Linked DNA regions of Stegostoma tigrinum. The protein of the gene in region 2 interacts with the protein of the main gene of each other region in a biochemical or structural test. Links are inferred from orthologs where the notes say so. Each region holds a gene or a part of one and is shown on either strand. Other genes may lie near its edges. The genes, in order: lmo2 and tal1.

What was found.
Region 1: the proteins of tal1 (region 2) and lmo2 form a complex in vitro, tested with the Homo sapiens proteins (2 studies listed by BioGRID). The link is inferred for Stegostoma tigrinum from reciprocal best matches to the Homo sapiens genes TAL1 and LMO2.

Annotation. Positions count from the first base shown.
Region 1 is NC_081370.1:45,064,078-45,072,255, forward strand, and holds the start of lmo2 (rhombotin-2), read right to left. Parts: upstream 3,487-8,178; 5' UTR 3,277-3,486; intron 2,872-3,276; 5' UTR 2,666-2,871; coding exon 2,625-2,665; intron 1-2,624. UniProt on the Homo sapiens protein: Acts with TAL1/SCL to regulate red blood cell development. Also acts with LDB1 to maintain erythroid precursors in an immature state.
Region 2 is NC_081361.1:59,149,639-59,158,017, reverse strand, and holds the start of tal1 (T-cell acute lymphocytic leukemia protein 1 homolog), read left to right. Parts: upstream 1-5,236; 5' UTR 5,237-5,423; intron 5,424-6,353; exon of another isoform or gene 6,354-6,651; intron 6,652-7,716; 5' UTR 7,717-7,818; coding exon 7,819-8,306; intron 8,307-8,379. UniProt on the Homo sapiens protein: Implicated in the genesis of hemopoietic malignancies. It may play an important role in hemopoietic differentiation. Serves as a positive regulator of erythroid differentiation.

The DNA.
Region 1 (8,178 bases), on a different chromosome or scaffold from region 2:
GATATTTTAAAATTATTCCATGTTAAGATGTTTAAATATGTTAAAGCTTTTTGAAATACCACGCATTATGTACCTCTCATTAAAAGATTACAGTTTTTGATGAGTCACAGCAGATAACCTTTTTCAGTTTAATTCTAGGATTAGTTTAAAATGAGTGAGTATCAGTCAGCATTCTGGATGGAATTATTATGCTCATTTTGACATCACTTTGTAGTGGAGAACGAAACTGTAGCAAGTTTTACCCAAACCAGTACACATATTCAAGGGATCATTTAAAAAGCATTGTTGATGATGAGTGGCAGGAAGGTACTGTTGACATGCAGCATCATTCAGTAAAAAAAAGCTCATTGCAGAAGAACATTTTGGGTTTTGCCAGGATGAGTCAGCGACTGGTCTCATTTCAGCCTTGATCCAAACATTGACAAAAGAGTTGAATTCTGGAGATGAGGTGAGAAAGATTGTTCTTAGCATCAAGCGGCATTTAATTGAGTGTGGCATCAAAAACCTGAGCAAAACTTTAAACAAAAAGAGAATCATGGAAATCTCCCTACTGGGTGGAGTCACACCAAGCACAAAGGAGCTCAAACATTGTTGGAGGTTAATCATCTCCCTCCGAGAGCACTGCTGCAGGAATTCCTTGGGGTTATCTCAGAATACGGGCAAGAAAGTTGAACAAGCTAAAGAAATATTCTTACAAAGAGAAAGCAGATGCTTCAAACACCAAACAACCTCCTTTTGTAACCATTCTATGTGTTTACGAAGAATTTTTCAAGTTCGTTTGTAAGATCATTATAATGTATTTCTTGGTCATAGGCTTTCAAAGAAAATATTTGTTTCATTTTAAGCTGCATAAGGAAACACATTCATTTGCATAGTTCTTTTCATAGCCTCAAAAATTCTGATAGCTGTCAGACACAGAGCCACAATCAACTCAGACATAACCTTATTTAATGGTGAAGCAGACTCCATGTATCAAATCCTGCTCCTATTTCTTATGTGAATTGATCACTGTTGTCACAGAGGGAAGTGCAGGAGCAAAATTTCAACAATAATAAGATAAATGACAAATAATCTTGATATTGGCTGAAGGGACATTAGCCAGAACTCTCCAACATTTCCACAAATCATAGAACAGAATATTGTCACATCCAGCTGACCAGGCCAATGGTCTCTGCTTGAATGTTATATCTGAGGAACAGTGCCTTTAATGATACAGTGCTCCTATTTTGGGGTCATTTAGCTCGGCTGGTTTACAGTGCACTGTGGCACCACGAGAATGGATTCAACTCTCACACCAGCTAAGGTTACCATGAAGACTCTCCTTCTCACCCTCTCCCCTCACCTGAGATTAAATGATCACCAGCCATCTCTCACTCTTCAATGAGAGAGCATCCCAACGGTCTGGGCAGACGATAGTGACTTTAACTTAACTAACTCGACAATGTACTCAAGTGCCAGTCTGGGTTTTGAGCTGAATGGAGTCTGATGCTTCAATTTTCCGATTCCAAAGCAACAGTATTACCCATGAGCCAAGCTTCCTTAAATACTTATACTCACAACTGTGTCTTGAAAATTTCAGTGTAGCAGTTGATGTCCCAAAGGGATCGATAATAGAAAGATGAGTGAGATAGGGGCATTATTATAAGCGATGTACTGTTATTGTAAGATAGAACAATGTTGGTTTAAGGCTACACAATCTTCTTAAATAAACAGACGATGGTTAGAAAGCATTCTTCAATTGGAAGCTCAGCTTAGAAGCACGCAAAATATTTAGTCCTTTTCACATATTGGCATTGAAAATATATTACAGAAACTACGGATTCAAAAGTGCTATTGTGACCACATTTTCCATCATATTTCAGCAATATGCCTAAAAAATGCTTGTTTAAAATGAAAGAAAAATGGCTGGAGGGTTCATTCCCTTGCAGCTGGCTGAAGGGGAAGTTCAACTTAAAATATGAAGAGGTCACGAGAATTCCCCAAAGAGAGAGCGGCTCCAAAATATTAATATTGAAGTGACGGGTCCGCTGATAACGGATAAGTGGCAGATCAAATACACTTTGTGAACTGGGGAGGTTGGGGTTGTTGCGGGGGGCGGCGCGGTGGCGGTTACCGTGAAGAATATCGCTCGCCCTTCACTCGGTTTTTACATGTATTGAGTATGAATCAAACAGTTCCCACAACGCCGTCCTGCTAAAGGGCTAAAAGTTGCTCAGATCAAAAGACATGAGTAAACATGTCCAATAAATCAAAACTGAAATGATGCATGGTACATGACTGTCGCGGAAGAATTGTCTCTGGCGCGTCAATGTAAAGTTTATGAAATAATAAAATGAAAATAAATGCAATCCGTAAGATGTTACCATCTTCAAAACCCCAAGTGGTTAAGATCAGGGGCTTTTCTTTTAGTTGTAAGGCCATTATGTTGTCTCGTAGAAATCAAGAATATCGAGATGATTAGAAATCTCACAATCAGATGGTGTCTCTCTGGTCTGACTGTGTGCACGGACCCATGTTTGAGGAAATTGTTCAATCCTTGATCGGTTTGACTGAATCGAGTGCAATCTCTACACCTTTACAGCGGTTTGCAACGCAAATGAAAACGAGCCGGCAGTTTAACTCACTCTGCATTTTCCAGCGATTTCCTCTCGATTGTTGCTGACATTGGTTCGGGGACGGAGCAGGGTCGCCAACTCTGTCTCTCGCTCTCTCTCTCTCTTGTCTCTGCAAGGCCCTGAAGCTGCTGCTGGCTTTTTTTTATATACTGCGCTGAGCCCAGATCACACGTTTCCTTTTCCTCATCACGACTCGGACAATGCGCGGAAATTCGTGTTCGAGCCGCAGCTTTGAAGCGTCGTCAAGGGACCCTTCCTACAAAACAACACTCATCACTTTTAAAGAGGCAGGAGCCTGCTTGTGTTAAAGGCGCAGGGCAACACCGCTCTGAGAAACAATTGCAGCATTGCAATGACCAAACACTTGATCTATTTTCCTGCACCTATCTTTTCATTAAAATATGCATAATATAACCGCACGTGTTATATACATATTAAGTAAAACAGTAAAACCATTATAAACACAAAGCGTTTATGATAAAGATCCATTTTAATCAATGGTGCATCATGAAGTTCATTAAATTTGACTGCTATAATTTAAAACAATAAAATAATGAATATTATTTCGCACCAGAATATTAGACGTTTATTCGAATAATTTAGAATAATTAAAAATTAGCTTAAGAAGCTAATTGTTTTGAGGTTTTGATAATTAGCTCACGAAGCTTGATCTTGACAATGTGATGGGCTTTGGGAGTTGATACTGCTTTCTGTTCTCAGTCTGGATTACTAGTCCAGTCCCATTACTACTTGGAAGATGTGCAAAGGGCGACAAAATGTACTCTGGGTGGAAAACTTCGACCCCAGTTGACAGAAGACTGCAAGACTCAATAGGGGAGCCAGCATATCAGTGCAAAAGGGAGAGGCATTTGCAACTGTCAGCAGTCAGAGGTGTTCAGTGGGTGATCTCTCAGCCTCCCCCTGAGGGCCTCATTATCACAGCCACCAGTCCTCAACCAAATCACTCCAGATGACATCAGAGAATACTGAAGGCACTGTATGTGACAAAAGTCACCAACTCTGCCAACGTTCTCAATAGTTTGGAGACTTGTGATCCAAAACTAACCAAGTTGTACAGTGACAACGGTGATATCTACCCAGCAATGTGGAAAACTGTCTAGGTGTATCCTGTTCACAAATTGCTGGACAAATCCAACCTGGCCATTCATTCTACTCTCATGCAACAGCAAAGTCATAGAAAGTGTAATTGAGAGTGAAGCAGCACTTACACGGCAATACTCATTCATGTTCAATAATGCTTATTCATTTGGTTAGTTTGGCTTCTGCCTGGGTCACTCAGCTTCAGTCCTCATTACAATCTTTGTCCAAACACAGAAAGATCACTAAACTCAAGGTGAGGTGAGATTGACTGCCATTGACATCAAGGCTGTATGTGATTGAGTCTGGTATCAAGGAGCTTGAGAAAAGTTGGCCAATGGGAGTCAGGAGCAAAATTCTTGACTGCTGGATTCAGCACAAAGGAAAATTCTTTGAGTTGCAGGGTGTCAGTCATCTCTGTGTCAGGATGTCACTGCAGAAGTTCATCAGAGTAAAGTGTTTGGCCAAATCATCTTCAGTTGTTTCAGCAGTGACTTTGCCTCCATTGTAAAGTCAGAAATGGGGCTGCACTGGAAGATTACACAATGTTCTGTATCATTTATGTCTTCTTGTATACTGAAGCAGTCTGTGTCCAAACGCAGCAAGACCTGGGTAGCTTGGATTGATAAGTAGCAAATAACATTCAAGTCACACAAGTGCCAAGCAATAACTATTTACCACTGGAGAGATTTCAGAACCCTGAGGCCTGGAGGGATCTGAGTGTCCTGGTACATGAATCAGAAAATTTGTACACAAGCACAGCAAGTGCTTAGGAAGGCACATGGATTGGTGCTATTGATTGCAATGTGAATAGAAAATATAAAATTAAAGATGATTTGCTACTTTGGACTTTGGTGAGACCACATAGAGAGTGCTGAGTGCAGATTTGTCCTTAGTTAAGAATAGGCATAATTGCATCAGAAGCAGTTCAGAGGAAGTTCACTTGATTGATTTCATGGAATGGAATGCCTTATGAGGACCAGTTGGACAGGCTGGGTCTGTATGTATCCTTTGGAGGTTAGAAGAATGATGATCTTACTGAAACATACAAGATCCTGACAGGACTTGACGAAGGGAGTGCTAAATTGATGTCTCCCTCCATGGGAGAGCTGGGTGACATTGTTTAAAAATAAAGCTGCCATTTAAAGTGTAAATGAGAAGTTTTTTTCCTCTCGCAGAGGGTCTGTGGAATGAACTTCTGGCCAGAGTGGTGGAGTAGAGGTAGAGGTAGATAGATTTTTGGCAGACATGGGATTCAAAAGGAACTGAGGCCACAATCAAATCAACCCATGATTTGAATGAATGGGGGAGGAGGCTCAACAGGCTGAATGGCTTTCTACTGCTCCTAGGTTGAATATGGATCGCTTCAATCAACCTGGGGAAGTTGGAGTTAACCACTGATCAGAGACCGAATTGGACTAGCTATGTGAATACCATGGCTACCAAGTCAGAGGCTGAAAGGTCTGAGAGAGTAAGTCATCTTTTGGTCTCTGCATGTCCTATCCATCATATACAAGGCACAACTCAGAAGTGTGACACACTAATCTTTAATTGCCTGGATGAGCAAAGCCCCAATAACAACATTCAAGAATCTCAACACTATCCTGGACACAGCAGCCTGGTGGGCACTCCACCCAACATCTTCAACATTAACACCACCGTAGAGTCATAGAGCTGTACAGCATGGCAATAGATCCTCCAGTGCCATGTTTGCCAGCCAGATATCTGAAACAGATTAGTCCCGTTTGCTAGTATTTGGCCCATATCCCTCTAAACCCTTCCTATTCATGTACCCATCCAAATGCCTTTCAAATGTTCTAACTGTCCCGGCCTCTACCACATCCTCTGGTAGCCCATTCCATACACACATCACGCTCTGTGTGCAAAAGTGCCCCTGAGGTCCCTTTTAAATCTTTCCCTTCTCACCTTAAATCTATTCCCTCTTGTTTGAGACTCCTGTATCCTGGGAGAAAGGCCTTGTGTATTCACCCTATCCATGCCCCTCACCATTGTATAAACCTCTATGAGGTTACCCCTCAGCCTCTGATGCTTAAGGGAAAATCAGGCCCAGCCCCCTCAGCCCCTCCCTATAACTCAAACCCTCCAATCCCAGCAACATCCTTGTAAATCTTTTCTGAGCTCTTTCAGGTTTCACAACATCCTTCCTGTAGCAAGGAGACCAGATTTGAACACAGTATTCTAAAAGTGACATCACCAATGTCTTGTACAGACACAACATAACATTCCAATTCCATACTCAACGTTCTGACCAAGGAAGCTAAGCGTAGCATATGCCGTCTTCATCACCCTGTCCACCTCCAACTTCACTTTCAAGGCACTGTGCACCTGCACCATTCGGTCTCTTTATGTTCAGCAACACTCCTAAAAACCTTATCATTAATTGTATATGTCCTGCTCCGATTTGCCTTACCAAAATGCAGCACCTCACATTTATCTAAATTAAACTCCATCTGCCACTCATTGGCCTGTCTTATTGAAGTCCCATTGTACATCTCCAATGCACACTGGCAGTGTGTACCATTTACAACTTGCACTGCAGTAAACCACCAATCTTCCTTTAACAGCATGTTCCAAACTAAGTATCACTATTACTTCGAAGGACAAGGGCATTAGGTGAATAGGAACACCACCACCTTCAAGTTCCCTGACAAGTCATGAATGAACCATTTTGTTATCCTTTACTATCGAAGGATCAAGATCCCAGAGCTCTGGTCCCAGCAATACTCGGGGTATATTTCCATAAAGCAGACTTCAGTGGTTCAAGAAAAAAGGTCACCACCATCTTCTCAAGCACAATTAGGCATGGGCAACAAATGTAGGCTTTTCCAGTGATGCACACATGCCATGAATGAATAAAAAGTAACGACGATCTCATGTAAGTAACCAATCATCTAGACACCAAGTCGGACAGGAGATCTAGTTTAATCTGAATCCTGATTATGTTAGTGGGTCTCCATTTACAAGTAAACATGATATTGAGATGGTCAGCAGAGATAATGGGAACTGCAGATGCTGGAGAATCCGAGATAACAAAGTGTGGAGCTGGATGAACACAGCAGGCCAAGCAGCATCTCAGGAGCACAAAAGCTGACGTTTTCAAGCCTTCATCAGAGAGTGGAATGGGGAGAAGGTTCTGAAATAAATAGAGAGAGAGGAGGAGGTGGACCGAAGATGGATTCAAGAGAGTTGTAGTGGGAGAGCGATTCCCTGGGATTGGTCTGGAGGGAGGAGGATAACTTCTTCAGGTTAAGCATCCCTGGAAGAGGCTTCACAGTGAGGTTAAAACTGTGATCAGAGATAATGGGAACTGCTCTGATGAAGGGTCTAGGCCCGAAACGTCAGCTTTTGTGCTCCTGAGATGCTGCTTGGCCTGCTGTGTTCATCTAGCTTCACACTTTGTTATCTTGGATTCTCCAGCATCTGCAGTTCCCATTATCTCTGATCACAATTTTAACCTCACTTTGAAGCCTCTTCCAGGGATGCCTAACTTGAAGAAGTTACCCTCCTCCCCCCCGACCAACCTCAGGGAATCTCTCTCCCATTGCAACTCTCTTGTATCCATCTTCGGTCCGCCTTCCCCTCTCTCCCTATTTATTTCAGAACCCTCCCCCCATCCCCCTCTCTGATGAAGGGTCTCGGCCTGAAACGTCAACATTTGTGCTCCTGAGATGCTGCTTAGCCTGCTGTGTTCATAGAGATGGGCATGTAATGATATACATTTGTAATACACAGCAAAGAGGGGTGTCAGATAGCTCTGTTGTTACAATCAGATCTGTGGTGAGGTTACCCAATTTGTAACAGTTTCAGACAAGGCACCTCAAATTGTAAAATTCCCAGATGAGGAGGAATGAACCACCTCCTCTGGTTTGGTCACCCATTCCCTCCGTTGGTTTCAATGATGTTCATTTAAAAATAAAGATCCTTTCCCTTGTGAATGCCTTTCTCCCAGACCGAGATAAACCTGGGTTTTCTAAAAAAATGTTTAAATTAAACAGGCTCCCTTGATGTACAAAAAGAGTGGGTTTATTGCTTACTGCATGTGAAAAGAAGTAGTAACACAACACACATAGACACAGAGTAGAGCTAAGAGGTGAGACCAAAAAGATAGAACTATAAAATGTATAAATCAGTCATTGAACTGTTCACGAAGAGCACATAAGATAATGTTGCTGCCATTATTAGATAACATCCATAGTGTTGACTTTGGTAGCTTTGCAGGTTGGAAGACATTATGTTGTGCGGATTCTTTTCCAGCATTCAGCGTTGACTGTTCTTTCCCTTTGTTAACGACAGTACAAGGGTGTTGAAAATGACTGTTCTCTAAGCTGTGGCCCTCACAGTTATAGTGATCACACATTAGGCCATCTGGTCAAAAACACATACAGGTTAGTGTCGCAGTCAGTTCTTTTGTATATTCACAGAGGGTAAAACGGACATGTTGACA
Region 2 (8,379 bases):
CACTACATGAGGGTTACACTTGCAGCCTATGTCAGCAGGTTACATAGCAAATACACCGTGTAAGCTCTACACCTTGTTATCTCAGATTTTCCAGTTCCTACTATCTATGAGTATGGTCTCTTTTGCTAAGTATGTAAGTAGAATGAATCTTTGCCTCCAGAATTGTGAGCATTCATGAATGATCTCACAGTCACACACATAAGGTGGCTGTAAGTATCCCACATGAATAGAGGCAAAGCCCTAATGCAAGCTGTTCACACTACATTTGGCATTCGTGATTTCAATAAAGTGCTCATTATGGGCTATACTATACTAATGAATGTAAGGTTTGAAGGATTGCTAAAATCTATTGCTGTCTGGCATGTTCTCAGGATTGAGCAATGCCTTGCCTATATAACTATTATCCTCAAGTTATTTGAAGGGGCTCCTTTACTCTACAATGGTAGCCAACAAGACAGGTCATACAGCCAAAATGACAGCTAGTTAGGCATATAGTGGTGAAAGGTGTATCTATATATACAGATGTGAAAGTATATGTACAATGATGTGTCACTCATGCCATTTATATGTAATCAGAGGGTTTATTCCCTTGGCCTCCCATTATGTCTGGGTGCTGTCGCAGGATCCAGAACTGAAATGGAGACAGCCTGTCTGATATCAGACCCTGTTGGCCGAGAAAATTTGAGTGGATGACTCGAGGGAAGTTGGTGGCTGAGAGGTGTGCAGATACATGTTCACCTCTTTGGCTGCAACTTCTTCAGGGTTGGGGATGACAGGCAGATTGGAGGTAGACAAGCCTGGCACCTCTGTAGTGTCCTGAGCAGAAACTTCTGGAGGCTAGTTTGTGGTTCTTGCATCTGGGTGCTTGCGGGCATAACTCTACCTCCTTGAGAGAAAGGAGCACCAGGAGTGAGAATGAGGTCCCTCATCCTCCTCTTGCCTTGCCACTGATGTTGAACACCGATGGCTAAAACAATGGGATGCATATGAATATTAATTTTTGGAATTCACTAAGTATTCTACTGACCCCACTAACTTGTACATGGCAGTAGCTAGACATACGCATGTTAGAGCCAGTACGGTACTGACAATATTGGTGGATTCCTCCAAAACATTTCTCAAGTTTGCTGAATTTCTCCAAAAAACATTCCTGCTGTCTTTATGACTAAGCATTTAGATGCATTCATTAATGGCTGAAACCATTGGATAATTTTCTGCCAGGGCTGAGCAGAATCCTGGTCTCTGATAGTTCCCTGAGTGCCAGCAAGCCAGGCCACTTCTTTCTCAGACAATTGTGGAGCCATATTAGTGAAATGCTTCCCAGATTGTGCTCCCAAACTTAACCTGGATAGATCACCCGCCAAGGTATCATTATCTAAGCTGGTAGAAGGCATAGGTGAAAGTCTTGTTTGTGCATTCTCTGAAATAGGTTATGACTTGTACCTCAGAGAGTGTTGAGAAGCTATGGGCAAAGGATTTGCTTCTTCATGGCCATGATGGTGTAGGTGTTGCTTGTGCCTGATAGGTGTTGCTTGTACATGATAGACAACAGGACATTATAGGTGGAACTAGTTTAATTTGAGATTATGGTCAGCTTGGATTGAAAGGTCTGTTTTCATGCTGTTTGACTCTTTGACTCTATGTGTGCTATAGGGATAGAAGCTTGACCATCTTAATAATAAGGTATCAGTGGTGGTAGTATTGACAGATCAACTCAATGGAGTACAATGAAGCTCATTAAATTGTCCTGACATAGAAGCCTCAGCAACTGCACATGCATGGTATCAGTTCTCTCCAACCACCTCAAACATATTCTTCCCATAGTGGGTTGATATTGAAATGACAACCACACAGCCATTCAGACTGTCCCTCTGTGCCCAGTTGTGAGACATTTTCTCCTGTACTGAGAAAAGAAGGGCAATTGAATGAAATGGAAGTGGATGGAAAATGAAAGTCAATGGAAATGGTGGCGCAGGAGCAGCAGCAGAGGTGAGATGTCCGGAGTGAGTGAGTATGAAACACAGAAGGGAGGAAGGGGAGATGTTTAGGAATCTGAGGCAGATGAGAGCTATTGAGTGAAGGTGCTGCATGCAATGATGAGATTTGTCGATCTTTAGACTTGACAGTTTGTGGGAACTGAGAGATAATGATGGCACTTACCCTCATGAAGTGCAGAAGACCACTAACCTCCTTCAGGCACTGCTGCACACTTCCTTTAGTCTGTAAAACAACACTGACCAAGGCTTTTTCTTCATCCAGATTGGCTGTGTCCTGTGTCCCCTTTGATCAATCCAGAGGAAAAAAGATTGATCCTCCTCTCCATCACCGCATCCATCAGCAGCTCAAGCTCCCTTTCACCAGAGAGGTCTGCCACCTTTTCTTTCTATAACATCTCATTGCCAAAAATGATGGAGCAACAGACTATAAAAAGCAATCCCTCGCTTTCAGCATTTGAAGTGGAATGCAGGGTGAAAGGCAAAAAGTCACAACAGCAGCAAGCTAAATAGATTGGGGCTCCTTTCTCTGTGGCATGGGAGACTTGGAGGTGACCTTATACAGGTTTATAAACTCATGAGGGACAATGATAGGGTGAACACCCAAGGTCTTTTTCCTATGGTGGAGGAATTCAAAACTAGCCGGCATAGGTTTAAGGTGAGAGAAGTGAGATTTATGGTGCAGCAGAGGTAGATCAGCTATAAATTTATTGAATGGTACAACAGGTCTAAAGGGATAGAAAGACCTAATCTTTTGAATGTATGGAACAATTTAATATGCTATTCCCATTTTCTGGTTTGGTTTGATTCCTACGGTAAATTAAAATACGATTTCATACAGATATTTCATCCCCACGTGGCTTTTTCCTTAAACAACGCGTTTTATGGAACTGTCAAATCTGCAAATTGTTGGCGGTCTGACTAAATTGTTGTGACTTCAATTATCCCCATTTAATCAGACTGCTATCTGGTTCGTTTTGGACTTCCGACAGTTAATTGTAAAAGGGAATTGCGGAGGCACGTTATGGGAACTTGCGCACCGTTCGAGAATGTAACTATATATGTCCCTCAATCCATAAATTCGTATTGTAACATTTTAAAGAGAACATGAAACTAATTCATGAAAACTATTATAATGTCCAAAGCCAGAGTTTTCTGTCCTATAATAATCAGATAGAAAATGTTGTGATAGAAAGAGTTCCTATATTAAAATCAAGAATGTTTTAAGCTGCAATAAATAATTACTCGTAACTTATAAATGAAGCTGTAAATACCCTGCTAGATTTGCCTCAAAATGTTTAACATTTGAAGTGATCAAATGAAGTTAGCTTGAAACTTTACAGCAAAATAGCAACAAGGCAAACACTAAAACATTGGCGCATACAAACTACCATTGCCAACGTTCAGCAGTATTCATAACTCTGGTCCCAGTTTTTGTGGGCATCATCGGGTATTACAACGACAGCTGTTTGCGATAAGGTAACCCTGCCAAGACATTCAAGTTACAGCTCATAGTTATTCATTACTTTTTGGAACAAGCCTGGCTAAGCTGTAGCTGTATTTACAGATATCTATTTTATTTTGTATTTTGCTCCAGTTAGCCATGCAGAAAATATGAATGTATAGATAAACCAACATGAAATTTCCAGTGTAGTTTACATCAGTCATAGAGCGTGATATGACGTTCTAGAGTTCTGGGTGGGGGTGGGGGAAATACAGCGTAAAGCACTAAACTGCCTTATTTACCTTTCGTCTGCAGAAATTACAGTATCGGAGACACCATTGAGTATGGCCTTCAATTGGCTGACATTTGGCTCAATAATGAATAGTAACAATATTAAAAGTACACTGAAGTTACTATCAATCCACTGATGGTCACAATCAATGTCCCTAAGAGCTTGGGATTCGGAGCAGATTAATCCGGTAAAATATTGCAATGTGTTAACCGCACTAGTTATAAATTCTATAGGCACATAATAATCACCAACTTATTTACTCCTTTTATAGAATTTATTTTTAGCCTCAGTTACATTCTGTACCGCATATGCCCAATGTGTAGCTAACAGCATAGGAACCGAAGGTCAAATATTCTCTTTGGGTTATGGCTAGCACAGCCGCGATTATTAAAGAGTTAATGAATATGTAAGTTATTGTGTACAACAGTTACTACAACAGAAAATATTCTGTTGATCGAATAAATCTTGACAAATACCGATTGTTTTTTTTACAATGAGAAGACTCAGAAATACACATCCACAATTACTCTACTTTATAGGGGAGAAGCTAAATCTAGTGATTAAATTCCCATGACTGTCCCCTTTAACTGAAACTTTGTGGAAAATATAACTTCTTAGCATCATACCCACTGTTTTAACAATGTTGGTCGAACATATGGATTCATTTTATCTATTTAATTTTTACGTGTGATATCAATTAATTGCTCTTCAATGCTCAGTATATTCGACGTTGTAATGCAATTTAAGAGAAGTTTAGGGACAAAAAATGTATTTTATAATACTTCATTTTAAAATGGAAATGCAGCCTTATTATTGTCAAGCTAAAAGGAAATGATTTTAGCCACGAAAAGTCAATTTGATCAATTAAAATGTAATCGAATAATCAGCCTTTGTACCAATCTTTTAAGAACGTTTTAATAAGACATCTTCCCTCTTAGGCCCAATGTTGAATTTGTTCCAGACAATTGTAGTGCAATCACAAACCTGATAAAAGTCATTTCTTTTAGGACTTAAAACATACCGGACTTTAGCACTGTTGATGGTAAAATGCCTGTCTAGGAAATGTCTATATTTTCAAACTGGCGAGGAAGCATGGGAAACTATTTTACTCAATCTCCTTCCTTAACAGCGGCTTTGTTTGGTTCTATCATAGAGAGACCGAAAAAAAAACGAACAGTCCTCTCGATGCATTGACTTCGTCATTAAAATTAATTAAGGGCTGAGTAGGTGTTTCCAATTTAATGAAAATATGGAATAATTGCCACAGAGAAAAAAAATATAAATTACAATTCAGGTAGGCAGGCAAGAGCATTTTGCTATTCTGCAGTGTCTTTTAGTGCCACAAAAAACCTATATAAGGTTTTTATGCCTTGCGTTCCAAAGTTATTCCTATGCATATCCATGCAATATTTTTCCGCTTTCCCTCGATAAAATTGCCAAATAATAATGAATCATTTCATAAATAATGGCTTGGCTGTCTTATCTGGGCAGGGCGGCCAGTGCTGGTTTCTTATCTCGCCTGGCCACATTGCTGTAGTGTTCCGCTCTCCATACTAAATAGGAAATCGAACGTGATGTAAAATCTACTCCACTCTCCAAGGCACAAGCTGCCAAAAAAACTTATTACAGCACAAAGATCAGCCATGGAAGGGACTGAAAATGGCTGCTAACACTTTTCTAATAAACAAGGATGGTGAGTAGATTTCTAATTGCCACCTCTTTAGTGTGTCTTTTATTCTTCTACATTTTCAAATGTCAAAATATAACTGGTTTCAAATTGAGTATAAATGATTACAATATAAAAGGACTTTTTGTTAAAAAAAAGTAGAATTTAAAAAAAATAGAAATGGCTGCAAGCATTGTTTTCAATAGTCCCAGGAGTGAGGGGTCTTTTTGGGACATTTTGAATCGCTTAATGGATTATGTATAATACAATCCCTAATGATATTTTAATTTGATTCGTATACATCAAGATTTTTTTTCTAAGGGAAATACCGGCACAGTGACAGAAACGGATGGAGACGCTTTAATATGTTACGATCCAATAGTTTTTCACAATTGCCATCTTGCGCATCTAAAGAATTTGTCAGAGAGAAAAAAAGATATTAATCTCAATGGTTATTCATTTATGGGAGAAAACAACGATTTTTTTTTGTCAGAAAAGCAATAGCGACTCCTTTTAAGATATTGTTGAGTACGTACTAGCTGATTACATTCGCACAGATTCGTTCCATGAACTTAGAAACCGCTATCAACGAACTCGCTCGGAGTTTTGCTGGGAATGTCATCCACCAAATTATTCTGATAGATGAGAGCAATTTTAAGGACATCGTTGTGAAATCTCAATTGTAAGATGTTGTATTTCTGTAGTGCAGCCAAAATATAGGCACTTGCCAATGAATAGCCCTTAAATACCTGCTATAGTTTTGTTTCGTTTCTGTGCACATTAAGGGGAGATCACTTTAAATCAAACGTTTTAAATGCTTTAAGCTAATGCGTCAGAATCTTCAAAATATCTGACTGTTACAAACATCGGAGATTAGGGCTGGCAGCCTCCGTGCATCCAGACTGCCCTCATTTGTCCCATTGTCCTCATGTGTTTATTTGGACCTTTCCATTCCGCTCAGGCCTCACGTTGCACTGCCTTGATATACATGCTCTGCAACCAGGGATTGTTCATTTGAACGTCAGTTTAAAGGGACACAAAAGAGTTCCCATCATTGCAGCAGGAAGATGATGGGAATATTTTCTATGCACTGGGTATTTACATGAGTCTGCGCTATTTCGGGAAATAGATTCTACATCTATTTGCTAAAGTGAGCAACATGGAGGATTTGATCGTATGGAGGTGCAGTTGGTCACTTAATTCACAATGAATTTTACAATCTATGTATGTTTTGGGAAAGGCGGTTTATCGGAGGGTACGTATACATTCAAGACTGAGCGAATTGCACCCCGCATTATCAACGTCGTTTTGTTTCATTTTAAATGGGTTATGCACAATATAGCAATGTAATCTCAAGGTTAAATTTCAATCTTCTAATACACATATACGTCTCTGAGCTCAATTCATTGAAAAAAGATTACAACGTGCCCTGCAGCTTTAGAATTTAGAGAGTGTTTAAACGTAATCCTTAATTGATCAACTGTCTTAAGTATCTTGGTTGGTTTTCCATAAACTGAGAAATGCTTAATCCTTCCAAGAGGCTTTATGTTAGAAAAAGAATAAAGCGGAATGAAATGCTGCAGGTGCTGGCTTCCTTTGTCGACTTTAGTGTAAGAACGAACCCAGTTTCCCAGTGAGATCTGCACAGCAAGATTCAACGGTACTATGGAAATAACAGCAGCCAAGAAGAACTCGTTGTAATTCTTTGACATCAGTTACACTGCAGGGTGACATGAATTGAACTAGGCGTTTTCTAAATGTGATGTAAAATATGCCCCCAATATTGCCCATGGTGTTGTCTGGAGAATATTAGCTTCACCTTAAGGGGGGAAATAAAAGCGATTTCTTTCAGATGGAAGATTACGAAAGAATGCTGCACATCCTGTATTCAGATTATTTTTTAAAGAGTTATTAACTTTCTTGCGCAATTTTGAATCACTGGTTTATGATTTCATCGATGTAAAAGCATTTGTACTCAGAGTTTAAGCCTAAGTTAACAAACCAGAGAAAGAAAGCTGATTTCTGAGCTTTTCGCACTGAAATAAATTACATTCAAATTTTAATAATGTCGATATCACACTCTCGTGTTAAAAATGAATGGTGAATTTTAGTCTAATAATACATATGGAATCCGATAAACCCTTGATGGATTCTCAGCCACTCGATTGGTTGCACTATTTGAGATTTTGTTCATAAAAATGGGCCTGTCAATTGACAACTAGGTTAGTACGATGCAAAGATCATGAGCAAATTTACTTCAATAAAATGTAAACGATTTAATTATGAAGTCTTCTCCTTAAAGATTTTTATTTTGTCTCAGGGGAGTATTTCTTGCAGATGAAGTTGTTTCAGCATTTCTCCATCCTTTTGACATCTCATGGTAACGCAGTCAAGACGGTGAAGAGTTCCACTTTTCGACAAGATGATGGAAAAAATCGGGTCTGATCTTGGTGAAAATCCCAGCGATGATCTGAGTCCTGTGCAGAAAGATTTCCCCAGACATAGAGCAGACCGCGAGGAAGCGGAAAGCACGAGCGAGCCTGCAGATCAGTGCACTGAGGGACAGCAGCTCCAAGCCGAGCAACAATCTGCGTCAAATGATGGAGTTTCCAAGGAAACGAGACACGACTCCCCTGATCCCCTATCGGAAGTGCCAGTCATAAACCTGATGCAAAGAGGGGTGCAGCCTATAAATGAGAGGGATCAGAAAGGCACTTTTACTCATTCAGTACCGACCACCGAGTTGTCAAGACCCCCGGTGCCTCTGACTCTTCAAAGTCCAGTGAGTGAGAATCGGATGGTCCAGTTAACGGCAGCACATCTCCCTCTGCCTGCAGCCAGAGCAATGCTGTATAACAGCACATCCCAGTATCAAACCTTGCCACGTTTAAACAGGTCAGTCTCATGCCAGTAAGTAGCGGTATTTCAACCTTTCCTTTATTTTGGAAGATAGTGAACCTGTTTTCTAGTTTGTAGAATCTGA